Linked DNA regions of Rattus norvegicus. The protein of the gene in region 1 interacts with the protein of each later gene in a biochemical or structural test. Links are inferred from orthologs where the notes say so. Each region holds a gene or a part of one and is shown on either strand. Other genes may lie near its edges.

What was found. The genes of interacting proteins can lie anywhere in the genome.
Region 2: the proteins of Cul4a (region 1) and Ddb2 form a complex in vitro, tested with the Homo sapiens proteins (2 studies listed by BioGRID, with this or other methods). The link is inferred for Rattus norvegicus from reciprocal best matches to the Homo sapiens genes CUL4A and DDB2.

Annotation. Positions count from the first base shown.
Region 1 is NC_086034.1:83,114,109-83,118,797, forward strand, and holds part of Cul4a (cullin-4A), read right to left. Parts: intron 1,742-4,689; coding exon 1,638-1,741; coding exon of another isoform or gene 1,637-1,637; intron 1-1,636. UniProt on the Homo sapiens protein: Core component of multiple cullin-RING-based E3 ubiquitin-protein ligase complexes which mediate the ubiquitination of target proteins. As a scaffold protein may contribute to catalysis through positioning of the substrate and the ubiquitin-conjugating enzyme.
Region 2 is NC_086021.1:97,660,135-97,665,592, forward strand, and holds the start of Ddb2 (DNA damage-binding protein 2), read right to left. Parts: upstream 3,310-5,458; 5' UTR 3,168-3,309; coding exon of another isoform or gene 3,140-3,167; coding exon 3,013-3,139; intron 1,769-3,012; coding exon 1,632-1,768; intron 1,115-1,631; coding exon 923-1,114; intron 1-922.

The sequences.
Region 1 (4,689 bases):
GTGCAGTTCTTAGGAACACATTTGGCACTCCGGCATGTTCAGGCTCTGGTTGCACCCCATTGCTCTTCAAGGAATAGTCCAGTCATATCCCTGAGTCTCCCTTACCCCGACACTGTGGGGCCTCTCCCTGATTTCTGTTCTGCTGTTGGAGCTGCATGTATCTGAGTTCTCTGAGACATCTTTGTAAACCTGGCTTTATCCTTAGGTTGTGATCCCTTGGAGGACGGCGATCAGGTGCAGCCCCTTTTCTATAACCCAGGGAGCAAGACGCTGGGTAGGAGATGAAGGTTTGCTGAGTGTGTGAACACTTAGGTCAACCCCCAGACTAGGATTAACTGGCAGGAGGATAATTAAAGTAAGTAAAAAAGCCGTTTGCAGCAAAGTGGGGTTAGAGCAAAACAGTGCTGGGTGCCATGTCCTAGGTGGCATCTGCTGACCACTCTCAGCCTAGGGTCAGTCTCCTCCAGGGCTCCGATGGGGCAGAAGCTCCATGCGCCTCACAGCTCTGTCCTGAGAGGAGATGCATGTGAGCAAGTTCTCCAGGGATCTGGTCACCACGTTCTTGTCTAATCTTGCAGTCGTTGGTTCAAAATGCTGACGGAGAACACAAGAGGCATCTTGACTGAAGCTGTGTAGTAGACCTCCCAGAGGCTCGGTGTCCAGCCACACTTGCTTGCTGTGTTTAATGAACAGGGTCTGCACAGCTGGCAGGGTCAAGTGTCCCCAGGAGGGGGAAAAAGACTTCCTGAATCAGGAGAAAATCTTGAATACAAAGGTTCTGGAATTTATTTTAGACATGAATGCATGGAGCCAAAGAAGTCAACATGGATTTTACACACAACAGAGTTTGTGCGCTTAAAACTGGCCCGAGGCCAGGTCGGACAGACGTACTCGTGGGCATGAGTGACAGGTGACACGGCAGCAAACCTAAGATGGCCTCTGCGCAGCCCTGTGTGCAGTACAGGCCGACTGTTCCCTTCCTAATGGGAGACACAGCCAGCCCGCCTCTGTCTGTCCTGTCCCTGGAGGAAGTCTCAGGCCGGACAGGCAGGTTCTCCTGCCTGCCCAGAGTGCACGATCCACCAGGAGAAAGTGGATGCAGCAAGGACCGGAGGGGCAGTCCTCAGGGTTACGCCAGATCCACTATGGCCAGATGGTAAGCAGGACCTTGTTCCTACAGCTCCCCCCCCACGCCCCGTTAGATGAGACTCCTCCCTGTCACACCGATTGGGCCTGTGACACCGAGACAGAAAGCAAGGGGCTGTATCCTGATTCCTGACAGGCACACCCCAAGAAAATAAGCTGGGTATGACAGCCATATTTGTGGGGATTTGTCACATATCATAAAAAATAAGGTGATTTTTAATTAAAGAACAGAACTTAAACTTTAAGACATTTTTAAAAACTCCCCTGAATGTTCCAATTAGATGCAGTACTCATATCAACTATTTAAATGTGACAAATTTCACTTTTAAAAAAACCATTATAATGAGTTATGAAACAAAAGGCCCCTTGTTCTATAAAAAAAGAGTTAAAACCCATTATTTTACACTGAGGATATTCATCAGTTCTTTATCCTAGTTTTAAAAGCTTTGTGTCATAAATGAGGCACAAAAAGCAAAGCAAGAAAAGGATATTCTCTGAAGGGGAGGATCTGGGCCTGGACATGGTCTTCACAGACCTGCCGCAGCTGCTTGTAGAGCGTGGGGGAGACTTTGTGAGAGCACAGATTCTCAACAGCCTACAACAAAGGAGAGGGTGGTTGTTCAGCGCGCGTCAGAGCTCTTGGAAAGCCCTGCGTTTACCTGCAGTACAGCCCTCTCGGGTGGTCAGGGCACTTGTGCCACCCACACTGATGGCAATGGCCAGCAGTGCCAGCAGTGAGGGGCTCAGACTGACATACCCTGCACCCACTGTTCCTTGGGGGCTGGCACCTCAGGTGTGAAGCTTTGCCCTGGTTCAGGAGTTGCCCTGTCAGGCTGCACAGACCAGGGCTGTGAGGTTAGTTTGGGTCATGTGGCCATTTTTTGACTCTCTAGGTTGAAATGGGGCACACATATATCCTAAAAATGGCCATGTGAACCTGGGCAGTGGCAGGAGGGAGCGCCCAGCTGTGTGAGTGTTAGACCTGTGATTCCTGAGTGACAGGCCAGGCTGCTCCGCTCCCTGTGTTTTTACTGATTGTTGATGTAGAATGCATTTATTTTGTCTTGATGAAGAAAAGGCAACTTTTGTTTGTTTTTTTGAGACAGAGTTTCTCAGCGTTGGCTGTCCTGGAACTCACTCTGTAGACCAGGCTGGCCTCAGACTCAAAGCTCTGCCTGTCTCTGCCTCCTAAGTGCAGGCATTAAAGATGAGCACCACCCACCAGCCAGCAAAAAGGCAACTTTAAACAGCCTACAGGAAAAAAATTATTTCTACCCACTGAAAGAATATAATCTCATCACTCATATTAAACCTCTCTCAAATCTCATATACATGTCAGACTCTTATTCACGTGAGAAGTGTAAAAAGAAATGATCTCTAACGAGGAGAGGGAACAGAGAGACTTTCCTTAGCTCTTTTCCTCGAAGTACCTTCCCGTCTTATCTGTCAGCTCTGCCTCAGAAGCTCAGCATAAGTCAGCCCATGTTTACAAGTACAGAAAAAAAAGTGATTTTATATACACGTCCATGCTTGTGTGCTTTTCTGTAGAAGTCCAGTTTGTGTGGCTGGTATGCCGTCCTTCACAAGAAAGCATTTGTGCAACAGTTTTCTCTCTCTCCTTCTTGAGACGGAGTCTTACTATGTAGCTCTGACTGTCCTGGAACTTGCTATATAGACCAGGCTAGCCTCAAACTCAGAGATCCTTCTGCCTCTGCCTCCCCAGTACTGGGATTAAGGGTGTGCACCACCAGTCCCCTAATATGAGCGTTTTCTGAGTGCTGCTTCCTGAGTTGGAGTCAGCAGTCCTAACTACTTTTCCTAGCTGTGACACACTATCGCTGTCATACCTACTAACATGAATCTTCCTCATGTACTTAGTTACAACTGAAGTCAGCCACTACAGAGACATATGGTATGACAGGTGGGACCCAAGGTGACCCTGGACTCAAATGAGAAGACGGTAATGCACAATGGCAGTCCAGGATTGGTGGCACTGTCTGTGTTAAGGATGGCCTGGGGGTACTATTTCCATACAAACTTGCTGCCTCCCCGCACTACCCCCTACTCAGAGTGAGGCTGGGATACTGGGCCCCTCTAGATGCCTAGTGAGAGAAATAAGTAAGAATACAAAATGAAATCAGGACTCAAATCCAGGCAACAGGAAACTCAGAAACTTCTCAGGAGACATGCACCTGTCACCATCTTCCAAACCCAACCTTAGCACTCAAGGTTGAGGTAAGAGCTAAACACACACCTGTGAGAGCTGAGCAGGAGGCTGCTAGACCAGGGCAGGTTCTGGTGGGACAGACAAGTCAGAGAGGCTATAGTCTCTGCTTTTGTATTGAATTTATGCTCTACTAGTACGTGACTTCTTCAAAGTGGTCCTAGCAATACTGACCTGTTCACCACACCCTGGGCTTTCCCATGTCATTTTAGCCAATCCTGTTACTTGGTTTTCCACAGACCCACACTGCTCCCTCCTTCACTAATATGCCTGACAGGGGTGAACCTTCCGGCTCTGTTGTACACTCCAGCCCAGAGCTGACCTCTCCCTGGAAGCTAGGCCACTCTGAGGAGTTTGCTCTCAGGTGGAGCTCCACTCTGAGTCTTCCTCTGATGTGTACTAGGGTGACGAAAGGACAAAATTCAAGTACGTAAGTCACAGGAGTATGTCCTGAATGGTTCAGACTCAGGTCTTCAGAAGCAAAGGGATCTGCACCTTCAAAATAACCCTGCCCAGAGGAAGATACAGAGACTGGGAACTGAGAGACCTCCCTGCCATGAAGGACAGATAGAACCAAGTGATATCCAGTAATCAAGCTGTTGAACAAAGAGCCATGACCAATGGGCTCCCGTGTTTACACCAGACCTCAAACTAAGTATTTCCAGACTTTGGTAAGAGGTGGTGCTTTTGGCTAAGATTCTGTGGTAGGGCATGAAGCACAGCTGGAAACAGGAGAGGCACAGGTGAGCACACTGCTTGTCTCTGCCCTTTACAGAGGCTGGAGGTGAGTGCTCATGGGTGGCTGGTGGGGTGGAGTAGGCTGGAATGTATGAGGTCTCACTCTAGGACACACTGCTGCATGTATGGGGTATGAAAAAGAACTTCCACTGTTGGGACAACTGAAATGGGACACTATTCTCTCTAGGCAACAGAGTGGCTTTAGTAGCAAGGATATTTTATCGAGCCAAAGCCGAGTATTTAGGTATTTTGGTGCAGTTCTTGCTCAAAATAAACCCCTAGAACTGGACAAAGAAGCCAGAGTATTTTAGGGGTCCTGGGCACCAGCAAACCAACCAACCAATCAACCAAACACCAGACAAAGCACAGGAAGCATGTTGGGGCCTTGGACACTGCCCAGAAGTCAGTGACCTTTGGGAAGTCTCTGCTGTTTCAGCTCCCTAGCCAGTTTCAGGCTGCATGTGGGACTGAGTCAGGAGATGAGGATCTTCGGGAGATGTGAAGGAGCCTCCGATATGCAACAAAGGAAACCCATTCTGGAGCGAGGAAACTACAAATGCCAAGGAAAGAACCATCCAGCA
Region 2 (5,458 bases), on another chromosome or scaffold:
AAAAGGCAGATTACACAGCAACCCGAACTGTAAGTGGGAGGCAGCCATGAGAAAATTATAGAAAAGAGAACTCTAGCCAAAGAGAAAAAAACAAGTCCCAGCTTCAGGAACAGAAGTCGCTGGTACACCTGAAGCATGGGAAATACTATGGTTTGTGAATGAACGGTCCCCCTCCCCAACCCAAGGCTCATATATTAAAGGTCTGGTCTCCAGATGATGGAACTATTGAAAGGTTAACTGCATCATGAGGGGGCTAACTTCATCACCGCTTTAATTCATTGGTGAGTTTCCAAATGAATGAGCTAATAGGGCATGGGGTCTGGTTAGAGGAAACAGGTCACTAGGGGACAAGGCAATCACTTACTCCAGACCCCTTGCAATTCATTCTCCCTGCTTTCTGACTCCTGAGATAAGCCGCACTGCTCTACCATCCTCTTCTACCATGATGCCCACAGAGCAAACAAGCATGGGCCAAAACTCTCCAGCTGTTTTTCTTCCTTTAGATCCCTTCTCTCTGGGACTGCCACAGTAATGAAAAATTAACTACCACAGGAAAGATGGACAAAATGAGGTTTTGTAGGAAGGGATACAGAAAGGCATGGCCAAGGCAGGCAGGTCTATGAATTTGAAGCAAGCCTGGTCTACAATGCATTCCAAGCCAACCAATGAAATTCTATCTCAAAAAGAAGATGACGAAAAGGAGGAGGGAGAAGATGAGGAAGAGGAATGCTAGACTTTATAGACCAGTCTATACCTTCTGATATTTTAAAGACCATCATTAAAAACATATTTGAATTGTGTTGCCATTTATAAGTTTTAAAACCAGTTACTTTTTTCCCCAATCATCTGGCTATCAACATTCCTTCCATTCCTCCAACAATCAGCCTTAAAGCATAACCATCTGGCTCACGTAACCACTTACCCCTTTAAGGAAGATGGGTTTGTCCTTTATGCCAAAGTTCCAGATCATAATATCTCCCCCTTTGGAGCCCACAGCCAAAGTACTGGGATGAGTCGGGTGCCATGCCAAGGACGTTGTCCTCCTGTCAAAGGGGGCAGCTTTTTGGAATACCCGGTAAGAAGCTAGAGAGTGCAAAAAGGACTTCTGGAGACCCTAATACAGAGAAAATAGAGTTAATCTGGATTCCCTGAATTAAAACTCATGTCCTAAGCTGGGCATGGTGGTGCATGCCTTTCACTCCACTACTCAGCAGGTAGAGGTAGGTGAATTTCTGTGAGACTGAAGCCAGCCAGGTCAACATACAGAGATCCAGGCCAGCTAAGGCTACACAGAGATTGTGTCTCAGAACATTAATAAAAACTAAACTCAAGTCCTGGGTAAACTGTCACTCTCTGGCTCCTTTGTGCGTAGGCAGTAAGTCTTTGTTGGCCTTGTGTATCAACTATCTGCAATGTATGTGAACTAATCCTGGCAAGCAGGAGGGAGAATGCTTGTTGTAGCTAGGATGTCTACAGAGTAAAACATTTTCTCTTTGACTGAGTGTCCAGTAGGTCAGTCATCATATCTGAGGTGACCTGATGATTCTGAACCAATCCATCGTCTGGTTAGAGCGGGCAGCAGTTGAAAAGCTATGTACACCTTTGAGCGCCTCAGACAGGAAACATCTCACCTGCTGTAGTGACGGCCAGGTGGCTTTGCCCAACTTCTGCTGGTAAAGATCCCGGACAATGCTGCTGCTCCTCGGAGGGATCTGCAAGCTGGACAACTCTGCCAGAAGGCAGCACGACTCACATTTCCTACTAGAAACTGCCCAAGAAGAATAGACGTTTTCCTCTCCCCAGTCTCAGGAAAGGTTTCCCCTCTGAAAATCCTTTGTCTCATCATCTCCTAAAAGCCTTTCTCTGCTGTTGAATATCACTCAACCCAAGAAAGTAATAACAACACTTTCCCAAAACACTCCTCCAAACAGTAATTCTGCAGTGAAACTAAATATGGCCTTTCAGGGTTCCTTAGAGCTTTGCCAAGGAGCTACAGAATAGTGTACACTCAAGACTTTTCTTGTGTGGGATGACAAATTAGTAGGAGTTGAGGGACAAACTTAAAATCACATTTCTAGGACAGCATGGGAGTAATTGCTTAGGGAAAGAGGTTTGTTTAATCTTATATTAAAATAAGAGCTATCCAAACATATTGGTGCATAACTGTAATCCTAGCACTCTGAGGGCTGGAGCATAAACATCTTGAACTGGAGGCCAGCCTGGTCTACACAGAAATACTAAATAAATAACGTGATGAGCAACCATTACTTGAGTGGAAACCAGAAGAATTAACCAGGGTTTAGAAAAGCTCTAAATTGATTAGGTTGCTTCAGGGAAAGGAGGTAAATCAGAGTATATGAAAACAAAGTAACCCTGAATTACCAAACCCTTCTGGTGGACCCAATCTTATAAGGTCCTTTCTCTTGACAACTTTCCTTCCCATGAGAACATGGCTAAAACCATATCACTTTACCACATTCCTTATAGCCCCAGGTTCAAGCCCTGGTAAACGAGAATGAGCTTCCTGAAGAAAAGGGGTTGGGGGGAGACTTCACTCTCCGAGCTGAAACCCAAGGCCATACAGCTAACAACACCCACTATGGAAATTCAGCAATCAAAGGTCTATGAAAGTGAGGATAACTTTGAAACAGATGTGTAAAACTTCTGCAAGGAAAAGTGATGAGTGTGGCTTTTATGGTGATGGAGCTCATCTGATTCTTACTGCCACCTGGGGTAGAGGTGGGGGGTGACAGTTAAACTTAAACTCTCTGGTGTCAATGAACTGGCAAATAAAGCGCAGTCCTATGAGTGTAGCTCAGTTGCAGACCACTTGCTGAGCGTACTAGAGGCTTGGGTTCGAGCCCTAGATCTCTCAAATAAAATCACAGCCTGAGGTGACGGGGACCAGGAACTGCTTCAGAATCCTAGGCACAAGCACCGACCACCCCACCTTCAGCCTCTGGCGTGAGCACCCTGAACCACCCGAAAGCTAAGGCAGCGCACAGGCCGTACCGGGACCCTGCACAAACAGCTTCTTGGCTTCGGGCTCCAGCTCCTGAGGACTTCTGCGGCTTTTGCTCTTGAGGAGCACCGCAACGTCGGGGGACTTCTGGGTTTCTGGGCATTTCTTGGGAGCCATGACGTACTCGGTGAAGAGATACCAAGCTCTATGGCAAAATAACGAAGCAAGACCTGAAAAGCCTCGAAGGAGAAAAACAGGAAGGGACTACGTACGAAGGAGCGCCGTCGTCGCAGGTAGCTTGGCACAGACAACTTCGCGCCAAACTCTCCTAGGGCTGCTTTACTTTTAGCCCCGCCCTGTCCCCTCAGGGCTGTCCCGCCCCTTGGAACTACCCCGCCCCCTCGGGATTGCCACAGTAGGGGGCTGTCCCGCCCCCGGAACTGCCCCAGACTGCCCCGCCCCTTGGGCATGGTCCGCCCCCGGCTGCTCCACCTCTTCCGGAGTAACGTGTGGAGCGTGCTGGGAGGGTTTTTTTTTCTTTTAACTCCCTAAGGACTGGGACTTCGCTTGTGTGCTGGACCAGAAGAAACCGGATTGTTTAAACCCGGCGGAGGTTACGCACGCCTTTAATCCTTGCACGCTGGAGGCCGAGCCAGGCGGCATTAGAGGCTTGCTTGGTGTACAGAACGAGTTCCAGCAGTCAGGAGAACTACGCTGAGAAACCCGGTCTCGAACAACAACAACAACAACAACAACAACAACAACAAACATTGTCTCGAAGAGGAAGAACAACAACAACAAAAAGAATAAAAAGGAAAAAAGTAGGCAGTTTATGTCTTAACAAGAGCAAAGATCCAAGTGTTGCCTGTTAATAATACCCAATCTGATTACCCAATCACCGCTTTAGCATTCGATTCGTTCCTCTCACTTTACAGATGTATTTTACCTCATAGATACTTCAGGGAAGAGCAGTATCTATGGTGGCACGCTCTATGTAATTTCCAGCACTGAGGAGGCTGGGGTATGAGGAGTTAGCCTGGACTACACTGACATCCTGTAGGGGTCAACTAAGAGTGAGACAATCTGGTGTACTGTCGCACAGCGAGGTGACTGCAGATAAGGGTCATTTGCGCGCTCTCTCTCTCTCTCTCTCTCTCTCTCTCTCTCTCTCTCTATATATATATATATATATATATATATATATATATATATATTATTTTTTTTTTTGGTTCTTTTTTTCGGAGCTGGGGACCGAACCCAGGGCCTTGCGCTTCCTAGGTAAGCGCTCTACCACTGAGCTAAATCCCCAGCCCCTATATTTTTTTAAAAGAAAGATTTTGAATGTTTTCACCGTAAGCGATATCGGAGAAATGTTTAACCCAGTTTAAAGAATACAATATATGTAGGTGGGTGAAACGCAATGTATGCATTCGTTATGAAGATGATACTCCATAAATATTTAAAATTCATATGTCTTTATGTAGTTTAATTTTAAATTAAAGCGATGCTCTAGAGGAGAGTAAAAAGCTGAGCCAGTCGTGGGGCTGTCCTAAGATGGGCTTGAATTAAGAATTGTAGCTTAGGGGTTGGGGATTTAGCTCAGTGGTAGACCGCTTGCCTAGGAAGCGCAAGGCCCTGGGTTCGGTCCCCAGCTCCGAAAAAAAGAACCAAAAAAAAAAAAAAAAAAAGAATTGTAGCTTAGTGGCCAGAGAGATGGTTTAATAATGGTTAAAGGAGGGCTGGAGAGATGGCTCAGCGGTTAAGAGCACCGACTGATCTTCCAGAGGTCCTGAGTTCAAATCCCAGAAACCACATGATGGCTCACAACCATCTGTAATGGGATCCGATGCCCTCTTCTGGTGTATCTGAAGGCAGTCACAGTGTACTCATATACAAAATAAATAAATAGATCTTTAAAAAATAATAATAATAATAATAGTTAGATGAGCTTGCTGCTTTTCCAGAGGACCTGAATTCTGTTCCCTGCACCCAGGCAGGTGGCTCACAACTACCTTGTATGTAACTCCAGCTCCAGAAGACCAGACACCCTTTTCTGGACTCTGCAGACTGATGCACTCATATGTACACATAAGCACATAAAGACACATGTATACACAGAAGTAAACAATTTAAAAAAGCTGCCCAGTGGTGGAATATGCCTTTCATCCCAGCACTTAGAAAACAGAGGCAGGCCTGGTCTATAGAGCAAGTTCCAGAACAGCCAAGGCTACAGAGAAACACTGTCTGGAAAACCTAATAAGTAAATAAATAGCCAAGGCTGCCAAGAAACCCTGTCTGGAAAAACAAAACAAATTAAATAGATAGCTAGGCCTCAGTGGAGCATACTCTTCTACACAGAAAGTTCAGTGACAGCCAAGGCCACACAAAGAAACCCTGCCTCGATAAACTAAATAAATATAAAAAATAAAAATGAATCCTAAGGGGCTGGAGAGATGGCTCAGCGGTTAAGAGCACCGACTACTCTTCCAGAGGTCC